Oryctolagus cuniculus: one gene and its partners. The protein of the gene in region 1 purifies or fractionates together with the protein of each later gene. This does not show direct contact. Links are inferred from orthologs where the notes say so. Each region holds a gene or a part of one and is shown in the gene's direction. Other genes may lie near its edges.

Region 1 (7,385 bases):
TTAGAACATTGTATAGAAATAAATTCATGTAAAAGGATCAGAGGCAGTGGAGCTACTGATGTGAGCAAGTGGGACAAAGCTCTGGGGACATGTTCAAGGCCAGTGCTGAGGGTTTACGCCAGTGGGTGTATGAAGAGTGAGTGCTTGTGTGACGAGGCTCCATGTGTGTAATTCCCCAGCCAGAAAAGGATGCCCTTTCATTATCTCTTAAGTGAGATCTTGGTTTATGAGGGTTTCTACACACTAATTCTGTCATGAGGTTTGCATTGCCTAAATATGTGAGAATAGGGTTTCAGTTCTCACCATCAAAAAAAAAGAGAAATGGCCTCTCCAAAGGACCTATGATGGGCTCCAGGAATTGCAGTTGGCAAAGCGTGTACACACACACCCTGTGCACCTTCAACCAGAGGCTCCCAGTGGTGGGAACCCTCATGGGTGCAGGATTAACAATGCAGAATGGAGTTCTGAGGAGTGAGCATGGTCTGGAAGCTCATACCTGGGTCCGGACCCCACCACCTCCAGTGTTGGCCCCAGTGCCTCTTGGAGCTGTTAATGAAGGAATTTGGTAATTTCCAAGATTTACTTTCAAGAATTGAAGACTAAACAGAGAGTTGTGACCAAACTCCAACACCTGACAACTGGTGGATCTCTGGGACTACTTGGCAAACAGTGTTTGGCATGGCACAGATCCTTGGTTATTCAATAATGCCCACTTGATTTGCTGGGCAGGCAAGATAATGGCTACTGCTGCAATACTGAGCAATTAGCAAGTATATTTGGTGACCAAATATGCCAGTGTTTGGTCGCTTCCTGAGCATTTACTGCCTCTACTCACGGCAGAAAAGGGCGTGATGGTCTTCACCAATATTAGAACAGGAACCTTTTTAAGGATACACAGACACTGCAACAACCCTGTGAGGTAGGTACTGTTCCTACTGTATAGAAAGTGAAAAGTGCACAGATTACTTGTCTAAGGGCAAGGCACCTGTAACTTCAGAGGGGAGATCCTGTACCCTACCACTGCTCAGTGGCCAACTTGGGGGTCCACCTTGCCCTTCCACGTACTTATATTACGTGACTGAAAATATTAGAAACCTGCCACATGGCATTGATAGTAATTGCGATGGACGGGGTGACTATATAACACCACTAGTTGGTTACGGGTTTTGAGTTCTGATTCTCCCATGAGGTACAGCCCTGATGGAAAACATTGAGATCACTAGACTATAGCTGACCAGGGCGATGGCTGGCATTTAACTGGCCTAATTGTGGTAAGAGTTCCATGCCCCAACCCCTTCATAATTATGTTAACATCACATAAGAACTCAGAAGGGAAGCAAAACGTGAGATTTCCTCAGTGACACGAGGGTAAGGTCAGAAGCACTACATTTGTGCTGCTGATAAACGCTGTGCAAAATTACCTTTATTTTCTAATTGTATTTAAAAGCAGGAAGTTTATAAATAATGAATCAACTTGAGAAATAATCCAGGGGAGATGGTGTTCGTGTGAACACAAATACGGAGCGTTTAAATCTCAGAGCCTCATACTGCTTTCCAACTTCCTAGCTTGCCTAAAAGTCCTGTTTCAGCCGGGACCTCCTCTGCTTACCAGACTCAGACTCTGCAAAAGAAAAAAGTTGGCCTCCCTTCTTGAAGAAAAGAGACCTTTACGGGCCCAATCCTAAAGAGAAGCTTCTATCCCCATTACCACACATCGCCGTTTTGGAGGGGAAAAAAAAAAAAAAAAATTTGCAAGAGAATGCAAAATGGCGACCTCCAGTGACGTCATACCTGTCTCGGTCGCGTACTGGAGTCTCAGTAAGGGCGGAAGTCGGCCACAGCCGCCTCACTTCGGGCGCTCGTGGCTACTCACGCAAAAGGAAAACATCCAACGTCGGGCGGATGTGTCCGGGCAGGTAATTTACTAAGGGCGGAAGTTCTTTTAAGGGCGGAAATACTATGACCCAAGAATAGCTTCCGGGGCGAATCGGAAGTTGCTTTGTTTTGCTCCAAGATGGCTGCGGGGATGTATTTGGAACATTATCTGGACAGTAAGAGCAGGCTGGAGGAGGGGGTCAGGGGTCGTAGAGTGGTGTGGGGATTGGGGCTGAGAGGATCTGTGGTCCCGAAGTCCCGGCGGTGAGCAGCTCCTAATTGTGCAGGGGTTCCGTGGGAGGCAATACTGAACGGTGTCAAGAAAGAGGGGGCGGGGCAGTAGGGTCGAGGCCTCTGGGTTGAGGGTCGGCGAGGGAGGACTTGCGCGGAGGGTCTCAGGATTTGTCTTAAATGGCTGGTCGACGAAACACGGAAGATTTTGCCGCTCCAGTTCTTTAGGGTCCCCAGCCTCGGGGTAGATTGGTTCCCCCCGGGGGTGGTTCAGAGTCGGTGTCACCCACTGCCTTTTGGAGCAACGGCCAAGACCTGCTCTAGTCTCCTGGTTCTTTCCCAAGTGGTTTCTCTTGAGGCTGGGGTGGTGTTGAGTGACCGCTATCAGATGGTGAACCGGAACGCTTCAGGGAGTAAAGGTCTGATTCCCTTCAAATGGAGATTAGTGCTGTTTATGCCGTTAGTGTAACCCACCCCTTCACAAAGCCTGGCCCCTGCTGCACTTACGTTTGTCTTAGTGTCACCAGTCATTCATTCGACAAATACTGAGTTCCTGCTATGGGTCAGACATAGTGAGGATTTTTTTTTTAATTTATTTATTTGAAAGGCAGAGGCAGAGAGGGAGAGGGCTTCCATCCACTGGTTCACTCCCCAAATGGCCACAATGGCCAGAGCTGGGCCTATCCAAAGCCAGGAATCTGGAGCTTCTTCCAAGTCTCCCAGTAGGGTGCAGGGGCCCAAGGACTTGGGCCATCTTCTACTGCTTTCCCAGGCCATAGCAGAGAGCTGGATTGGAAGTGGAGCAGCCAGGACTTGAACCAGCTCCCATATGGGATGCTGGCACGCAGATCAGAGCTTTAACCTGCTGAGCCACAGCGCTGGCCTCATGAGGATATTTTTTAAAATGAGGAAGACACAGGCCCTGCCCTCAAGAAGCACGTGATCTAGTAGAAGTCAGATGTTGCAAACACTCATATATATATATATATATATATATTTATAAAAGTGTGGCAGGAAATATTACAGATATAAGTACAGTGGTTAACAGTAGAGAGAAAGGGGCTAATTACCTCGGGATGTAGGTGAGGCTTTGCAGAGGAGGCAATATTTGAACAGAATCTTGAAGATTTAACTGTTTACTTGCTGTATGGGGAAGGAAAGGTAATGCTGTGGCAAAGGTATTGTGTGATGTGCTTGTCGCAAGATCATGGGACGATGAGGTCAGAGTCTGATATATACAAGGAGACATCCCAAAGCTCATGGAGAATAGAATTAAAAGGTGTTTATTTTGGTCCAGGTTTTTTATTTGAAACATTTATTTACTTGAAAGGCTGGGTGACAGAGAGGGAGAGAAAGAGGTCTTCCACTCTCTGGTTCACTGCCCAAATCCCTGCAACAGCCAGGGCTGGGCCAGCTGAAGCCAGGATCCAAGAGCTCCATCCAGGTCTCCCCCATGGGTGGCTGGAACCCAAGGACTTGGGCCATCTTCTGTTTCCTTCCCAGGCACATTAGCAGGAAGCTGGATTGGAAGTGGAGTAGCTGGGACTTGAACTGGCCCTCTGATATGGGATGCTGGCATTGCAAAAGGCTGCTTAACCTGCTGCACCAAAACACTGCCCCGACCCAATTATTTTTTAAAATCCTGGCGTATATGAGATCCTCAGAAGGCTCATGGCAAGTGCATATTCTGAAAAATATATGCATTGAATTCAGTCTTTTCTGGACCAGAACTTTTTTTGAAGATTTATTTATTTATTTGAGAGTTGGAGTTACAGAGAGGGAGAGACAGAGAAAAAGGTCTTCCATCACTCCCCCAAATAAATAGCTGCAACAACTGGGGCTGGGCCAGGCCAGAGCCAGGAGCTTCTTCTGGCTCTCCCACATGGTGTAGAGCTGGAGCGGAAGTGGGGCAGCTGGAACAACCTGGTGCCCATACGGGATGCCAGTCCTGCAGGCGTGGCTTTAACCTGCTGTGCTGCAGTGCCAGCCTCAACCCGATTTTTCTGTATTCTGTTTTTCCATTAATGTGTTAAAGTACTGTCACATGACCCTAAAAAGAGAGCTTGGGAAATGAGACTAAAGGAGGAGGCTAGAGCTAGATTGGGCAAGCTCTTTTTTTTTTTTTTTTTCCTAAAGATTTATTTTATTTTTTATCTGAGAGGCGGGGTTACAGAGAGGGAGAGACAGAGAGAGTGAGCGAGAGCAATCTTCCATCTACTGGTTCACTCCCCAAAGGGCCACAACAGCCAAGGCTGGGCAAGCTAAAGCCAGGAACCTGGAACCTCCAATCTCCCACATGGGTGCAGGAGCCCAAGCACTTGGGCCATCTTCTGCTGCTTTCCCAAGTGCATTAGCAGGGAGCTGGACGGGAAGTGGGGGGCCATGACTCAAACCAGTGCTCATATGTGATGCCAGCACTGCAGGCAGCAACTTAACCTGCTACGCCATCGCTGGCCCCTGGGCCAGGTTTTTTCATCCAAGCTAAGAAGTTTGGATTTAAACTCCAGTGATTATTTTGAGAATAATGCTTTGTGGGTTTTTTATTATTTTTGTTGTTTTAAGATTTATTTATTTATTTATCTGAAAGCAGAGAGAGAGAGAATGAGATCTTCCTGGTTCATTCCAGCAAGTGGCTTCAGTGGCTAGGGCTGGGCCAGGCCAAAGATACGAGCCTGAAGCTCCATCTGGGTCTCCTACGTGGGTGTCAGTGACTCAAGCACCTGGGCCGTCTTCTGCTGCTTTCCCAGGCACATTAGCAGGGAGCTGGATCAGAAGTGGAGCAGCTGGGGCTGGAACTCGTGCTCTGATTTGGGATGCTGGATCACAGGCAGCACTGTGCCACAATGCTGGCCCTCAGTGTTATTTTTATAAAGGAAAATAAGCTACGTATGATAAATTGGATCCAGATAAATTTGGTAACGTGGGGATCAGTTAGTGAAAACAGTCTGGGTCAGAGATGTGGGCCTGATCTCAGAGAGTAGAAGTTAAATATGCCAGGAGTTAAATATGCTGACTGAACGAGGGGTTGAGCAAGAAGGGAGAATTTCCGGTGACTTCTTCCTGCTGGAAAGTGAGGCTGATGTGTACCATCAGCAAGATGGGAAATCCAGCAGAAACAACAGTGTGTTTAATTCCATTTAGAGGTAAGCATAGGACTGGTTATTATAGCTATGAGGGCAAACAAGATTTTTCAGGAAAACAAAGTGAGAAAATGAGAGGACTGAAGTGTAATCTCAAGAAAACATTCACATTGAAAGGACAGACCAAGACATGTCAGTGTTGAAATCACCAGGAGGTGTATAATCAGATGTGAATCCTGAGAGGCAGGAAGTTACTCCAAGGAGGGAAGATGGTGCCAGCTGCTGCATGACATTTATTTTTCGGTTATTTTTGAATTGTAGAGAAGGCAATCTGCCCTCCGCTGGTTCACTTCCCAAATGCCAGCAACGGCTGGAGCGAGTCAAAGCCAAAACCAGGGCCAGGAGCTCACTATGGGTCCCCCATCGAGTGTCAAAGATCCGGCTGCTTGCAGCATCACCACTGCCTTCCAGGGTGCACGTTAGCAGGAGTGTGGGAGCGGAAGCAGAGCTTGGACTCCACCCCAGGCGTTCCCACACAGGTGTGTGAGTCCAGAATTGCATTTTAATTGTTAGGCCAAACATCTACCCCTGCACAGATTTTTTTTTTTTTTTTTTTTTTAGAATAGAAGTAATAAGAGATCGTTTGATTGGCTAAGTCATTTTTGATTTGAAGCACTAAGTGACTTGGCAATAGCAGGCCTGAGGTGCGTTAAAGCAGTAGAGGCATTTTGAAAGTTTGAGGTAGAGTCATGGGAAGAGAAAAAAATGTTCCTTTATGGAAAAATAAATTATTACAAGTATTTATTGAGTACCTTCTGTATGCAAGGCATAATTCTAAACACTAGGGAAATAGGTGAACGAGACAGACTTGTCTCTGCTCTTGTGGAGAGCTAGGGAGACAGATACCAAATAACTAATTGTGTAGTTACTAAAGCTGGATAAGTGTTTTAAAAAAATTGAAGTAGGCTGGCGCCGCAGCTCACTTGGCTAATCCTCCGCCTGCGGCACCGGCACCCCGGGTTCTAGTGCCGGTTGGGGTGCCGGATTCTGTCCCAGTTGCTCTTCTTCCAGTCTAGCTCTCTGCTGTGTCCCGGGAAGGCAGTGGAGGATGGCCCAAGTGCTTGGGCCCTGCACCCCCATGGGAGACCAGGAGGAAGCACCTGGCTCTTGGCTTCGGATCGGCGCAGCACGCCAGCCGTTGTGGCCATTTAGGGGGTGAATCAACGGAAGGAAGGCTTTTCTCTCTGTCTCTCAATGTCTAGCTCTGCCTGTCAAAAAAAAAAAAAAAAAAAATTTTGAGGTATAGGGGCCAGTGCTGTGGCTTAGCAGGTTAAGCCACTGCCTGCAGTGCAGGCATCTCATATGGGTGCTGGCTCGTGTCCCTGCTGCTCCACTTCATTCCAGCTCTCTGCTAGGCCTGGGAAAGCAGTATAAGATGGCCCAAGTCCTTGGGCCCCTGCACCTGTGTGGGAGACCCAGAAGATGCTCTTGGCTCCTGGCTTCGGATCAGCACAGCTCTGTCCATTGTGGCCATCTGAGGAGTGAACCAATGGAAGGAAGACCCCTCTCTCTGTCTCTCTGCCTCTGCCTCTCTCTAACTCTGCCTTTCAAATAAAATAAATCTTTTTTTTTTTTTTTAATTGAGATACAGTACCTTGATAGTATGCATCTGGACACTTGCTCATGAGAGTCTGGGCAAGTCAGATTTGAGCTGACCTCTGAGCAGTGAACAGAAAGAAGCCCAAGAGACGTGGGGGGGGGGGGGGGGGGAGGAAAACCCAGCAGTGTGTGCAGGCAGAGAGAACAGCGTGTGGAAGTCTGTGTTGCAGGAGCAGCCCTGGTGAGTTTGCACAACTCAGGGATGGCCAGTGTAGCCAGAGCAGAGAGTGTGAAGAGACACCAGGATGAGCTGAGGCTGCTGGGAGGTGTGCAAGGACCTCAAAGTAGAGAGCTTCCAAGAACAATCAGGAGATACTGGAAGGCTTAAGGAGGAGAATGACTTGATCAGGTTGTCAATTTTTTTTAATTGTCATTATTTATTTGAAGGGCAGAGAGACGATCCATCCACTGAATGACTCCTCAAATGCCTGCAACAGCCAGGGCTGGGCCAGGCTAATGCTAGAAGCCAGGAACTCCATCTGGATCTCTCATGCAGGTGGCAGGGCCCCAGCTGCTTGAGTCGTCACCTGCTGCCTCTCA
Region 2 (7,338 bases), on another chromosome or scaffold:
GGATCGAGAGATCTTCCATCTACTGGTTTACTTCCTAAATGGCCGCAACAGCCAGAGCTGGGCCAGACCAGAACCAGGAGCTTCTTCCGCATCTCCCATGTGGGTGGCAGGGGCCCAAGTACTTCGGCCATCTTTCTCTTTTCCCAGGCACATTAGCAGGGCTCGGAATCAGAAGTGGAGTAGCTGGTACTTGAACCAGCACCCAGATGGCACCGACCTGTTAACAGCACAATGCCGCCCCTTGTGAAATTAGTTTAAGCAGAATTTGCCTCATTAAATCTTTGATGGTTGCCAGTATCCTGTTGAATTTCTCAGTCTAAGGAGAATCTGTCAGGTTTTGCATTCTTTTTCTCCTTGGTTGTATCCAAGGTCATTCTGTGTGTTTAATTATCAAAAACCCAGCTTATTAGATACTTAATTAAGCAGTGTGCCCTTCACTTTTTTTTTTTTTGGAAGTGTAGACTTCCAAAAGAGTCAGCTTCAACAATGAGATTTCAGTATTTCTTTAAGATTTATTTACTTATTTGAAAGAGAGAGAGGTCGTCCATCTACAGTGAGAGAGAGAGAGAGACAGAGAGAAAGGTCTTCCTTCCATTGGTTCACCCCCCAAATGGCTGCTAAGGCCGGTGCGCTGCGCCGATCTGAAGCCAGGAGCCAGGTGCTTCCTCCTGGTCTCCCACACAGGTGCAGGGCCCAAGCATTTGGGCCGTCCTCCACTGCCTTCCCAGGCCACAGCAGAGAGCTGGACTGGAAGAGGAGCAACCGGGATAGAACCGACGCCCCAACCAGGACTAGAACCTGGAGTGCTGGTGCCACAGGCAGAGGATTAGCCTAGTGAGCCACAGCACTGGCCCAAAGCTTGAATTCTTGAGTTGAAACTTTAAAAGGGGGAGTTTCACATGTTTAAGCTGCCGTTTTTGCTGTTTTCCATAAGAGCAGGCTTCCTGAGTTACTTAAAAAGCATCTATCATGGTCAGTTTAGGACCAACTTTCTCCTTGTCTTTCTTTTGCTTCCTAAAAAGCTGTCAATTTAGGCCCAGAGACATAGGGCTCTCCCTCTCGCCCCCAACCTTGACAGCTGTTTTCTTCTTGTAGTGTTCTGTGAAAAGCTGCATCACTGCCTTCCACGTCACCTGTGCCTTCGAGCACAGCCTTGAGATGAAGACCATCCTAGATGAGGGGGATGAAGTGAAGTTCAGGTCCTACTGCCTCAAGCATAGCCAAAACAGGCAGAAACTCAGGGAGGCCGAGTACCCCCACCACAGGGCTACAGAGCAGAGCCAGGCCAAAAGCGAGAAAATCAGCCTGCGGGCCCAGAAGCTTCGGGAGCTGGAGGAAGAGTTCTATTCCTTCGTCCGAATGGAAGATGTGGCTGCAGAGCTGGGGATGCCCACACTGGCTGTGGATTATATCTATAACTACTGGAAACTGAAGCGCAAAAGTAACTTCAATAAGCCATTATTTCCTCCGAAGGAAGATGAAGAAAATGCCCTGATACAGCCAAAAGAGGAAAGCATTCACACTCGCATGAGAATGTTTATGCACCTTCGGCAGGACCTGGAAAGGGTAAGGTGACCACCACCACCTGTGACTGATGTGTTATGGTCTGCATAGAAATGGGGTACCCACTTCCACTTTAAAAATAGTTCGTTATGGTGTGGGCTTCTGAGACCTTGCTTATGTTATGATATCGTCGTGGCCCCAGACATTGGGCTCTGTTTAAATTTTTAGCAGGCACATTCAGGGGATTGGAGAGGCCTTATTTATATGCTCTGAACTTTTAATTTGAAATAAATTCTCATTTAATTTACTTTTATTCACTTTTGAGCCTAAATTGACTCAACTGTATTTTACTGACACATTTTGATACTGCCACCTGAAGAAAGCTTTAGTGAATTTTATTAAAGAACGTGTTAAATCAGGGTTTCAAAAACTCAACACTGTGGAGATTTTGGGCTGGATAGTTGTTTATTGTAGGGGACTGTCCTTTGTTGTAGGAGACATTATAGGATGAGCAGCATCCCTGTCCTCTACTCACTAGATACTGTAGCACCTCCATGACTCCCAACATGACAGCCAAAAATGTCTTCAAATTACCGAATGTACACGGGGGGTCAAAATCATCCCTGGTTGAGATCCACTCAACCAGACAATTCAGTATAACTCATATGTATCATATCTACTAAATTAGGTACTGCAGGGGTTCAAAGATAAGTTAGGTCCTATGTTTATCCTAGAGAATTGCATAATTATAAAGTGACTTGAATTGTTTCTGTACCAAATTTGAAAGAGAATTGACATATCTGGCTCACTTTTAAAAATTTAATATGTACCTATATAATATCTACTATTTTGTTGTCAATAGTGTTTTATGCATTTCATAAATGTTAACTCATTTAATCCTAGTATGCATCTGGAAAGATACTGTTATCATCCTTGTTTACAGATGAATAAACTGGGACACAGTATAAGAAAGTGAGGACTTTACTCATGTGGTTGTAGAAACTTGTTGAGCTCAAAGTATGAGCCAAAAAAACACTTCCACTTTCTCAGCATACCTTTATCCTGCTGTTCCAGCACTCCTTAGAAAATTGTACTGGATTCAGCATTGTCATCATTTGTACTCACATATCTGAAGGGAAAGCTGAATATTTTTTAAAGATTTATTTGAAAGGCAGAGTTACAAAGAGCCAGAGACAGAGAGAGAGGTCTTCCCTCTGCTGGTTCACTCCCCAGATGGCCAGAATGGCTGGAGCTGTGCCTATCCAAAGCCAGGAGCCAGGAGCTTCTGGATCTCCCACAGGGATGCAGGGGCCCAAGCACTTGGGCCATCTTCCACTGCTTTCCCAGGCCATAGCAGAGAGCTGGATTGGAAGTGGATCAACCAGGACTCAAACCAGTGCCCATATGGGATGCTGGCATTGCAGGTGGCAACTACCCGCTATGCCACAGCACCAGCCCCAAAGCTGAATTGTTAAAACCATCAGTTGATGTTCCCAGCATGGCTGCTCAGATTAATATTGATTCCAGGATACTACAAATAGAGCAGATTTCAGGAGGCTGTTTGGGAGCATTTTGCTTGTGCTATTGATATATATGGAAACTATGATCCCATCATTGACCATCCTGTGTGCATTTCTGTGGAGTGACTATTCTAGGACCCTTGGGTTCTATCTTCTGTTTTCACCAACCCTCCAGCCCCTCTTCTGACTTCAGTTGTCTTCAGTGAAGCTTAACAGCTTCAACTGTCAGGTTGTTTAACATGACAAACAAATCTGCTTGTTGGGGATTGGGCTTTCAGGTCCGAAACCTGTGCTACATGATAAGCAGACGTGAGAAGCTGAAACTGTCACAAAACAAACTACAGGAACAGATCTTCGGGTTGCAAGTCCAGCTTATTAACCAAGAAATTGCTGCAGGTAACCTGTTATTCAAGATGTCCTAATGCATATGTAAACTTGTTTAACCTATTTTAGCAATTTAGATTGTATGTCAATTGTCCACTGAAAAATCCTTTTAATATCTTGTCTAATGTCTTATTTGCTTTCATCTAGCACTGATACAACTTTGCAGTGTCAAATCATGAAGCAAAAAGTCCCAGAGTAAGGTTGTGGGTGTTTCAGGTCTAAGACAGATGATCTAGATCCCAGAGAGATATTCAAGGCCATTAGTTGGAGTCACAAAATTATTCTTTTACATTTAGAAATCAATGTGATAAGATCTAGTCCCATTTTACAGAAAACACTTAACCCCAGAGTTACTCAGCTTAATAATAGTCTATTAAAACAAATCCTTAACTAGGAGTTACAGATCTGGGCTCTTTTTATTTACTAATATTTTTTGAGCACCTACTGTGGACTAAGAACTGAGTTAGAAGACAGAGTGGTTAGCAAGACTGAATTCTCAGCTGCGACATACACTGCCCACTTGGTGAGAGAGGCATGTCAGCGTAATTACAGTGCCCTAAGCATGGGGAGCTTGGCTGGAATGACGACAGCCAATAGCTATAGGTATCAGCGATACCTATAGCTTCCCTGTGCCTCATTTAACACAGAGGTTGATGGCAGAGCCTGAGTAACTAGAGTTCACTAAGCAAGATGTGCAGAATCAGCTCCTGCCTTGGGCCAGCCATAGAGCAAAAGAAACACTCAGAAATGAAGTGTCAGGTAGGCAGCAGAGGCTCTGAGGCATTTGTGAGTGGCAAGAGTCACAGAGTGGTGTAGAAGGGGCCAGCCGCCTTTGCAGCTGAAGAGCAACATGCCAGGTAAAACAAGGCAAACCAAAGGACAGCAGGGAGGAGCCCCCCTGCCACCACCACCCCCCACTGAGGAAATTGGCCCCTAGTCACATGGCTTCTGATTGGTAGGAATCAGCCTCATTACAGCTTGCAGCATCAGCAGGTGGCAACCCCAGGTAGAGGTGGGGGCTGTAGATATTCCATACGGACCCTTGAACAAATGCTGCCCATTGGGACAACTAAAAGCTGTCCTCTCAATTTTTCATTTTTGTGAGGTTACAGTAAGATGATAATGACAAAAGATTAAGTAATATGCAGAGAGGAATTATTTGATAGTGTTTTTTTGTTTAATTTCAGAGCACTCAGAATAATAGAGTTAGATCTATCCTGTGATTTTGAGTAACATCACCAGGTAGCTGATTGCCCATGCTCCCCAGGCCAGGCCCATAGCTGGCCACTGGCAGAAATGTTGTAGTTCTTTTCTGCTGGCCTTACCACTGCAAAACCTCATCCACACCTCCAAAATTGTCATTTGTAGTCAAGGGATTATTCTAGGTTAAGGTCCTAAAATTCACAGGCACTTCTAGTGCCAGGGTAGAGCACACACATACTCTGTACTACCACAACCTGTGCCACATTTCTGTAGGTTTGTATTTGGTTTGCTTTAGGAAGGCCAAGAGTTATTGGAGGAGGGGATCTGGAAAGTCTGTGTTTAAGGCACATCCCAAGTGCTAGACAATACCCACACATGCACACACACAAACACACAGACATACAGTTGGGAGACCCTGTTCCACATTGCTCATGACACTGTTTTCAGAAATGGAAGGAACAGAGTTGGAGATGCAGGAGACGGCAGACAACTCTTTGTGGTCATTTATGGACTAGGAGAACAGAGGTGAAGAGATAGAGGATTGCCATACAGCAAACAGTGTCATTGCTAAGCTTTTCGTCTGTAGCACACTTAGCTGCAGCTTCTGGTTTAGCTTACTCTGCCTGCTACCCCATGTGAAAGTAGGTATGTGCCCTAATTCTGCCATAAGCACGGACATTGTTATTTAAATCAGTTGCTAAAATGAGTATTTTCTTTTTGAACTCAGGACTTCCTTTGACAACTACACCAGAAAGCTCATTGTTCTACCCACCACCAAGAATTACCTTAAAGTTAAAAATGCCCAAGTCAGCTGCAGAAGACTGCAGAAATGGCTCCACAGAGACTGATCACCAGTCCTGCTCTCCTGACAGCACCTCTTCTGGTAACGATATAAGGAGCCTGCAGGCACTTCAGGAGTCGCTAGAAATGAGTATGCAGTCGTTTCCAAGGCATCCACTAGAGAGCAAGAATAACTGTTTGCCAGCCACTCTCAGCCATTCCAGAGGTGAAGCAAAGGATTCCAGTCCTGGTTGGAGAAGTCCATCTTTGGAGTTCTATCATGGGCAGTCACAGGGAAAGCCTCTGGTCCTTCAGGCTGCCCTCCAGGGACAGTCTTCCATTGGGAATGGGAAAAATCAGCCTAGCTCCAAGTTTGCCGCACCTAATGGTCTGGAGGGCAACTGGTCTGGGAATGTCACCCAAAAAGACAGCTCACACGAGATGTTCTCTGACCAGGAGTCCGTGAGCAGCCCCCACTTGGCTAGTCAGTGCAGCTTTAGAAAATCCAGTATGGATCACTTCAGCAGGTCATTTAAAGAGACCACCAATAGGTGGGTGAAGACCACTGAGGACCTCCAGTGCTATATGAAGCCAACTAAGAATGTGAATCCCAAGGAACAGTTCTGGGATAGGCAGCTTCTCAGGCTACCTGCAGGGCAAGCTCCATATAATGAAAATGATGGGTATTGCCCAGATGTGGAGCTGAGTGACTCAGAAACAGAAAGTGATGGGAATAGAGAAAAAGTTCGGGTAAAGAGAGAGAGCTCAGACAGGGAGAATCCTTCCCATGACTCTAGACGGGAGTGCCATGGCAAAAGCAAAGCACATCCCCTTTCCCACAGTTCAACGCAGAGGTGATGAGATACTCGCAAATATAACTCAGCCTTTGCCTTTGTCCCATTTATTGGGGAAAGCCTATAGACCAAAAGGATTCTAGCATATGTTAGGGGGAGTTATGGAGAAAAGAAAGAGAATTTTCCACAGTAAAATTTGCTTGCAGTTTTTGAAAAGGTTTCAAAGTCTCGTTTTCACAAGCACATTACAAGAATTGCAGATTGTCCAGAGGTTGGTTTGTTAGAGGCTGTTGGGAATAGCTGGACCCAGAGTATTTATTGAGTAAATACAGGGCAGCTTTCCAATTATATTAACACATTGATGAATACATTATTAAGTGTCCTTGCGTCACTAACAGATTTGCAAGAGACCATGATTACCAGACACTAAAACTACTTAGCTTTTGAAACTACAGCATGTGACTCTGAGAGCTCCTGTCTGTAGGACATTTCTAATTCCACTGGTATCTCTAAGCCAGGAGACCAACTCTCAGATACTGTCAAACTCACTACCCTCTTCCTTTGCTCTGCGCGAGGTTGAGTTCCTTTCACAGTATCTTGACGTACTGAATCAATACTGCTACTGCTTACAAGTGTCCAGTGCCTGTTCCTAGACTTGCTTGTTGGGGACGCACTCATAACTATTTCATGCAGCTAACAAGCATAAGAGGCTAACTTGTGGATAGTGTTTACAGAAGTACAAAAGTACTACTTCCAAGGAAAATGCTCTGATTCTCTGTTTGGTCATTTGTGAAGGATCCCAGAGCCTTTCCAAAAGTTGAGACCATTTCTGGGGTATTTGTACCAGGTCAGGGGTTTTGTGTTGTTGTTTTCAAATAAATTTGACTAAAATGAGTTTGGCTGACAGTTTTTGTATACCTGCTTTAATGTTTATAAAGTTTTTATTGAGGTATAATTAAATATAAAGTGCACAGAGGTTAAGTATTCTTACCTGCTTTAATTTTGAAACAGATTTTTATTGTCAAACAGAATTTGAAAGCATGTGTGTAACACATGGATATAATTTAGCTTTGTAGCAATTTTGAATCCAAGGCAAGTTCCCAAACAGTAAGGCTAGAGCCATTTTTTCAGAAGTTGCTTATACTCTGTTCCCA
Region 3 (7,338 bases), on another chromosome or scaffold:
GCGGGCTGCACCTAGTGGAGCTTGCTAAGCCCTGTGAGTGCACTTGGAGCTCTGGGGGTCTCAGTCTTCATTTTGACTGTGGCTTCAGGCGGCACCAGGGGTCAGTGGTGAGGGCAGGTAGCACCGTGCGTGTTAGGTCGGTGGGGATGCCAGGCTCCAGGGTCCCCTCGGTCAGGCCGGGCTCCAGGGTCCCCTCGGTCAGTGCAGCCTCCAGTGCCGCTGTGCCCCGGCCCCTGAGGCCTGCCTGCGTTGTACCCTGCACGCCTGGCAGGCAGGGGCACTGCTGGACGAGGAGCATTTGTTTAAACCCCGTGCCGAGGAGGGAGGAGTGTCATCCTGCTCTCGGGGTCCAGGTGTCCCCACACGCCACCTTGTGATGTCCCAGGAACTCGGTGACCTGGCACGTGGCCAGCGCCTCGTGGTGCAGATCCGACATCCTGTGCGAAACACTGCGGGTGGCTGCTTTGCTGTTTTGTGTTTGTGATAAGTTCCAGTGAGTGGAATTTTAGGAGCCTCACTCACCTACTGACCTACCTTCTTTCCTTTCTTTTTAAAGATTGATTTATTTGAAAGGCAGAGTTAGAAAAAGAGAGAGAGAGAGAGAGAGAGAGAGAGAGATCTTTCATTCACCGATTCACTCCCCAAATGACTGCTATGGCCAGGAGCCAGGAGCTCCCTCCAGGTCTCCCACGTGGGTACAGGGGCCCAAGGACTTGGGCCGTCTCCACTGCTTCCCCAGGCCACAGCAGAGCTGGGTGGGAAGGGGAGCAGCCGGCGTTGCCGGTGGCAGTGAACCTGCTGTGCGCCAGCAGTGGCCCCGGATCCTGGCTGCTCCCTCTCTCTGAGTCTGCGTCGAGTCCCCTAGTCCCCGTAAGCTTTTCAGAAGCATTTCCATGGTGTGATTAGCTCCAGTCAGGCTGCGCTCTGGGGACTGAGGGGCCTGCTGCTGTGTGGGTGGCAGAGGCTGTTCTGGTAGGGGAGGGGTCTGCACTCCTCACAGCCCCTAGCAAGGGATGGGGAGGCCGAGGTTCAGGATGATGGCCTGTGGGGGTTGCACTGGGGTGTCTGGACATCCCCCTGTCAGTGTGTGGGGAGCCTGTCTGGGGAGTTCTGTGGCAGCAGCTGGGAACGTGGGCCGCACACGGTGACCAGAAGAGCCTGCCCCGGTGTGGTGGTGCTGTGGGGAAGAGTCCCCAGCGCAGTGGTGCCTTGCCAGCCTGGCGGGAGCACCTGAGCTGGGCAGGGGCCTGTCCACCCTGGGCTCTGCTGCCCAGGCAGGGTGGGTAGTCCAAACACTGAGCCGGAGGCAGGAAATGAGGTTTGAAGTGCCCCTTGGCCTCCAAGGACAGGGTGGATGGGAGACTGTGAGGGCATCCTTGGCGGAGCCTGGACCGGGGCCTCAGTGCTGTCTGTGTCCCATTTACAACGTTTATGAAAGGCCTTATTGAACAAAAGGCTGTTTGTGGCCGTCACACCTGTCCCGGGAGTGTGACCCGGCCGTGACTGCTCTGTTACGCGCTGAGCAGTGGCTGGAGACGGTGCCTTTCAGCCCAGAGCGGCGGTGCGGCTGCTCGCGGAGAGCGAGCCCCCAGCTGCCCTGACCGGGCTGCGCCGCTCCTTTACGTCGCTGGAAGGAAGTTTGCCGTCCTGTTCCCGGAGTGTCGGCTCCGAGTTAACTGGGTGCTCAGAGGCCTGCCTGAGCGAGTGTGCAGCTTCTCGTTTTCACAGGGACGTCTGTATTTAAACATCAGCCTTGCAGACGTCCTGTGGTTTTCAGGAAGCGTGAGGTTTAATAAAACAAGAAACGTGCCCAGTGGCCACAGGCACGGCGCACGGCTTAGGTCATTGAAGGGTTACTCTGGGTTTCACGCCATGCTTCCTGTGGCCAAAGCCAGTCCTGTTTGGAAGGGAGCTCAGCCGTAGCGCGGCGTGGCGTGGCCTTGTGGCGTGGCCTTGTGGCGTGGCCTTGTGCCGGGCTGTCGGCCGCCCCAGGCTGCACCAAGGATGCCTGTGCCGTGTCGTTTGCGAACACCCCGATTTTCTGTGGGTAAATTTTAACCTCGTCTGTGCCGAGGTGACTGAGCCTGTCTTCCTGGGGACGCTCCGGTCAGAAGCTGACCTGGGGCCCGGGGTAGAGTCCGGGAGGCCCGTTTGAGGTCCCCTTGGTGGGGTGAGGTGTTTTCTTCTTCAAGGTAAGTGAGTTGTTGATTGTAGAAACTGCGTGAGCTAGAGGGCTGTGCGGACTGTTGTGTGCATGAGACGGTCTCGCAGCCCGGTGCCACACCATGCCGTGGCGCCAGGGAGGCGCTCACAGCGTGGCCGGCCCAGGGCGGCCTCCCGCTTCACAGTCGGTTATGTGGGATGCTTTGTTTCCTTAACTGAAGTAGTGTTTTGGTGGACTCACATTTATAGTAAGTTTTATGATAGATTTTATAATCTTCAGTTTTCAAAAATCACTTTATTTATAATTTTTTCAGGAGATAAATCTCCCCCTAAACTTGAACCATCAGATGCATTACCTCTTCCTTCAAACTCGGAGACTAATTCAGAACCACCAACCCTCAAACCAGTAGAACTCAACCCCGAGCAGAGTAAACTATTCAAAAGAGTCACATTTGATAATGCCTCACATAGCACTTGCACTCAGAGCGCACTGGTGAGCGGACACCCTCCAGAGCCCACCCTCGCCAGTAGTGGCGATGTGCCGGCGGCGGCGGCCTCCGCGGTGGCGGAGCCATCAAGCGATGTAAACAGACGCACCTCTGTTCTCTTCTGCAAATCGAAAAGTGTAAGCCCCCCAAAGTCTGCCAAGAACACTGAAACCCAGCCAACTTCTCCTCAGCTAGGGACCAAAACCTTTTTGTCTGTAGTCCTTCCGAGGTTGGAGACTCTACTGCAGCCAAGGAAAAGGTCGCGGAGCACATGCGGAGACTCCGAGGTGGAGCAGGAGTCCCCGGGAAAGCGCCTGGACACAGGTAAGCGCCGTGGGCTGGTGGCACCGCGCCCGCAGGGGCTGTGCTTCGGGCAGCACTGTGGTCCTTTGCAGAACAAACCATGCCGTTTTCTTCCCGAAGGTCCTAAACCCTGGGTCCGAGGGTGCCCTGCGGTGCGGCCTCGTGTCGCTGGCCCTGCGCTCTGCCCTGAGCAGTGTAGCGACGGGAGTGACGTCTCCTGGGGATGGAGACTGCTTGTCTTGAAGGTGGTGTGCACACCAGGCGCACTGGGGCCCTTGAGTGCCGCGTCTGGCCCGGCCGCCCTCGCAGCCCCCAGGAGGGTCTCCTCAGCCCTGGCCCTGAGCCTCCCGTGTACCACTCACACCATGTAGCTGCAGCCCCGTCAGCACGCACGTGGGGATTCGGACGGCCGCAGGGCCGCTCAGGTGCTGCTCGTTGGCCGCGGGCACGCGTGTCGCCGCTGCTCTGCTCCCCAGTCGCTCCGTGTGTGCCCACGCCCCCGCTGCGCCTCTGTCCTCGGCCCTCAGACAACAGCCTTGGAGGTGCCAGGGGCCCGTCCTCACCGCTCCGTCCAGGAGTGTTGCTGTGGTGTTTGTCCTTCCTGTCTGTCCGTCCTGCCTTCTCTACTGGCTGTGCCCTTGGGTAGTAAGGAGCAGGCCCACCCACCCCTGCATCCATGGTGCCCACCTGAGGGTCTTCACTGGATGGATAGAGCATGCTTTCTCCTGTGAGCGGAGGTGATTCCTTCTGAACTCCATTTTACTGTGTAAGAGTGTTTTGCACGTGTAACTACAGAAACGTTTAGAGGCTCCGTCCGTGTCCGTACGTGCTGGCCATTGACTAGGGTGCCATCTTGGGAATGTGGCAAGGCCTTTGTGTTTGGCAGTCACGGGGCTGCCTGGAGCCTTGGAGGACACAGGTGCAGGTGTCGGGGCTTTGTCAGCTCCTGGGGTTTCTCTCCCCAACTCCAGCTGCTCTCAGCCAGGTCCAGCGAGAGACCCCGGCACCTTGTTTCGAACTCCAGGGCACCAGGCCCTGGCTGATGTTGCTGGCCAGCCGCAGGCCTCTGCTCCACACACGGGGCATGGAGCTCCGTGTGGTGCTCCGCGTCCTCAGGGCTGCACGACTATCCGTGGCATGGGGTGCAGGGCAGGGCCCCACCGCAGAGCTGCTGGCGGGGGCAGTGGCCTCCCCGCCCTCACCTGGGGCCCGTGCCGGCACTGGCGGCTTCCAGCGGGTGGCCTCGCCTGGCCATCTAGGTCCTGCTGGGCCTTTGTCCCTGAGGGCCTCTAGCAGTGGACTAGTTTTACCAGCCTGGTGGCCGCGCCCTGCAGACCTCCCGTGGGTCTCCTCTGTGCCTCTCCACGCTGGAGGGCAGCTCTGCCTGTGTGATGGCGACGGTGAGTCGCAGGCGGTCCTCACCGGGTGATCCGCGCTGCACATTTCTGGAAGGATGCTCTGCCCGTCGACCCTCACTGAACAGACTTCTGCTTTCTTATTCCAGAGTGGCAGTAGATGTCAGTGGATCGCGTGAGCCCCTAAGCCTGACTCTGAGCGGCCTGCGAGCCTTAGCGCTGAGACAGACCTCAGGAGCGCGAGGCGGCAGCCGCTGCGTCCTCTGCCCAGCCCGGGCGGGGCTGGGTGTGGTCTGAGTGTGGCCAGTCCTCCGTCCATCTGGCTTCGCCGTCACCTGAACCTTGTGCTCTCTGCACGCCTGGATTTCTTGCTCCGAGTTTCACTTCTTCGCATTCTGAGGACTCGAAGTGTTCCGGAACCTTCCGCGTTTCCCCTGGGTCATCTGTGTGCTCTGAACTTGTAGGGAGCGCTCTGTGTCCTCCAGTGCACGCGAGCTTCCGAGTTAGATTGAGAACGGATTCCTTCATCCTGGACTCTCACCTGTGGGCCCGCTCCTGTCACCGTCCCGTGCCGTAGGCTGGGCCTGTGGTGCCTTGGGCCCTGGGGAAGCCTGGAGCGGGGGCCTGAGCCTGCGGAGCCGCCCTGGCTTGCAGCTTCCTTCTGCTGCGACTGCTTAGTTACTTCCAACCGAGAAGCGTTGGCCTGGCACGGGCTGCTTGCGCCTTCCTTGAGACTGTTGCCGCGAGGTTCCTGCCAGGCCCGTGGTTGGGGGTGAAAGCAAGTCTTGTCTTCTGCATCTTCGCTGTTCGGGGAGGAGTCGGTGTCCCTTCCTTTCAGCCAGACCAGGTTGTCGCTCGCTCTTTGGGTCCTGGTCATTCCCTTTTTCCCGCAGCTGGACAGTGGCTGTGCGCAGTGGCCCTCTCGGAGCACAGAGGCCCCTGCACCCTTGCATTTCCGCATCATCCGCATGGATCGCATTGGAGCCATCAGTTCCGCCGTCCTCTAGACAAAGCCAGCCCAGCCCCGGAGGAGACCTGCGCCCTCCAGCCCACCCCTCTGTAAGTCAGAGCTGGCGGTGGGCTGAGCTGGCGGGCGCCTTCTGCCTCTGCCCTCCCTCTGAGGGGAGCCCGGAGAATGCCCCTCGGCTGGAGCACCTGCTGCGGCACAGACCGCGAGCGCCAGCTCTCCGCGCCTGTCCTCAGGTGCCCACACGCCTGCCTGCCGGGCCAGGTCCTGCACGTGGCCCTGTCTGGAGACGGCTCTGCCGTGTGTCCTCACTCGGTTGTTAGCGTCTTGGTTTCTGGATCTACCTGATACTCCACCTCCCTTGACGTCTTCCCTTGACTGGCTGCTGTCTCGTGCTGGCCGTGCCCCGTGCCTGCCCTTGGGGACCTCCTTCATGGAGCAGGGTGGTGTCTGCGAACTTCTTTGTTGCCGAGTTTGTTTTTAGGATTGATTGATTTATTTGAAAGGCAGAGTTAGAGACAGATCTTTCATCTGGTTCACGCTCCAAATGGCCGCAACAGCCAGGGCTGGGCCAGGAACCAGGAGCTTCATCCCGGTCTCGCACGTGGGTGCCAGGGCCCAAGCACTTGGGCCATCTTCTGCTGCTTTCCCAGGTGCATTAGCAGGGAGGTGGATCAGAAGTGGAGAGCCGGGACTTGTACCAGTGCCCGTATGGGTGCCAGCGCTGCAGTTGGTGGCTTTCCCTGCAGTGTAACGGTGCCGGTCCCCGTGGCTGAGTGCCTACTGCAGGGTGGAGAAGACACAGCCGTGTGGTCATTTTGGCACTTCTAGGAGTAAGAGCGTGTCCGCAGCTTGGCCGGTGTCGTCGCACTGGACGTTCGTCCTGCACTGGGCTTGGTGTGTGTCTGAACTCGTCAGGTTCATCTGAGCTCTGGGGCAGATTTGGCGATGGCAGCAGTGGGGACCAGGATGCAGACCCCAGCCCCTGTCCTCCCGCCAGGGGCTTTGCCCTGTGCTGCAGGCGTGAGCTGCTCAGGGTGGGTTCCCGGCCTCTTGCAGAGGGTTGATAGGCTGTCTGGGGGCCCTCTGGGGTCCCCTCCCTTGCAACCACGGCCTGCTTGGCTCGTCAGAGTGGTTGGGCCGGCGGTCCTGGGTAGAGTGGGCTCCTGGCAGGAGCCCTGTTTTCACTCACTCCCCTAGTGCGCCAGCTTCACTCAGCATTTAAAACACCCTGTGCCGGAGCCCCCGCTGTGTTCTGGGTGACAGGCGTGTGTGTGGTGTTCGTGGGTTCCCCCGGGGCGTCACCTGTGTGGGTCTCGAGTCTGGAGTGGGGCTCAGAATCCTGCGGGACACGTGTCCTTTGAGGTCCTCGGAGGGCTGCTGAAGGGGGCGGTCCCAGTGGGTTCCACCCTGAGGCTGCAGCCCATGGGGCAGGCTGGGAAGCCAGGGTGCAGGCAGAGGCGCTGGGGCGTGCCGCCCTGGCTGCAGAACCTTAGCAGCCTGAGCCCAGGCTCCCTGGCACGCCCTCCAGGGCCTTGTGGCCCGCGTGGGCCCCCGTTCTGCAGAGCTGACCGGAGCCTTGGTCTCTCCTTCAGCCTTTCCTCCGTCCCCTTACCAGGGGGAGGCCCTGGGACCCTCTGCCAGGCTTCCTCGTGCCCCCTGCTGGGAAGGGTGACTTGCTGTCACCTGCCCCGCCCCCTGCTCGCTGGCACTCGGCCGTGTCCTGGGACAGCCTTGTCCACAGCTGCTCTGGGTGCTGCGCGCCCTCCGATGAAACGTGGGGGGGGGGGCGTTGAAAGGCAGAAGTGTGCGCGTTCTCTCTCTCTGAATGGAGGGCTTCCCGAGGCCTCCCTCTCGTCCCTCAGTGTGGAGTTGGGGGCCTGGCCTCGTGTGCCCCGCTCTCTTGCAGCACCCCAGGCTGGAGCTGTGAGTGGCTGTGGCTGGTCTTCCTCCTCCCCTAGTCGGCCACACCTGCCTGTGGGCCAGGCTGGCTGCCGCTTGGCTCCCAGGCCGTTCCCATTGGAGGCCCTGGCACAAGTTGGAGATCACTTTCTACAGAAGT

Evidence for each region. Proteins that work in one complex are often made in the same cells at the same time.
Region 2: the proteins of ING4 (region 1) and JADE3 purify together in Homo sapiens (affinity purification with mass spectrometry; 3 studies listed by BioGRID and IntAct, with this or other methods). This does not show direct contact. The link is inferred for Oryctolagus cuniculus from reciprocal best matches to the Homo sapiens genes ING4 and JADE3.
Region 3: the proteins of ING4 (region 1) and BRD1 purify together in Homo sapiens (affinity purification with mass spectrometry; 5 studies listed by BioGRID and IntAct, with this or other methods). This does not show direct contact. The link is inferred for Oryctolagus cuniculus from reciprocal best matches to the Homo sapiens genes ING4 and BRD1.

The regions. Positions count from the first base shown.
Region 1 is NC_091440.1:102,848,572-102,855,956, forward strand, and holds the start of ING4 (inhibitor of growth protein 4), read left to right. Parts: upstream 1-1,943; 5' UTR 1,944-2,014; coding exon 2,015-2,051; exon of another isoform or gene 2,052-2,139; intron 2,140-7,385.
Region 2 is NC_091453.1:32,611,586-32,618,923, forward strand, and holds part of JADE3 (protein Jade-3), read left to right. Parts: intron 1-1,095; coding exon 1,096-1,566; intron 1,567-3,301; coding exon 3,302-3,419; intron 3,420-5,337; coding exon 5,338-6,248; 3' UTR 6,249-7,338. UniProt on the Homo sapiens protein: Scaffold subunit of some HBO1 complexes, which have a histone H4 acetyltransferase activity.
Region 3 is NC_091442.1:122,834,848-122,842,185, reverse strand, and holds part of BRD1 (bromodomain-containing protein 1), read left to right. Parts: intron 1-2,477; coding exon 2,478-2,975; intron 2,976-4,458; exon of another isoform or gene 4,459-5,368; intron 5,369-7,338. UniProt on the Homo sapiens protein: Scaffold subunit of various histone acetyltransferase (HAT) complexes, such as the MOZ/MORF and HBO1 complexes, that acts as a regulator of hematopoiesis.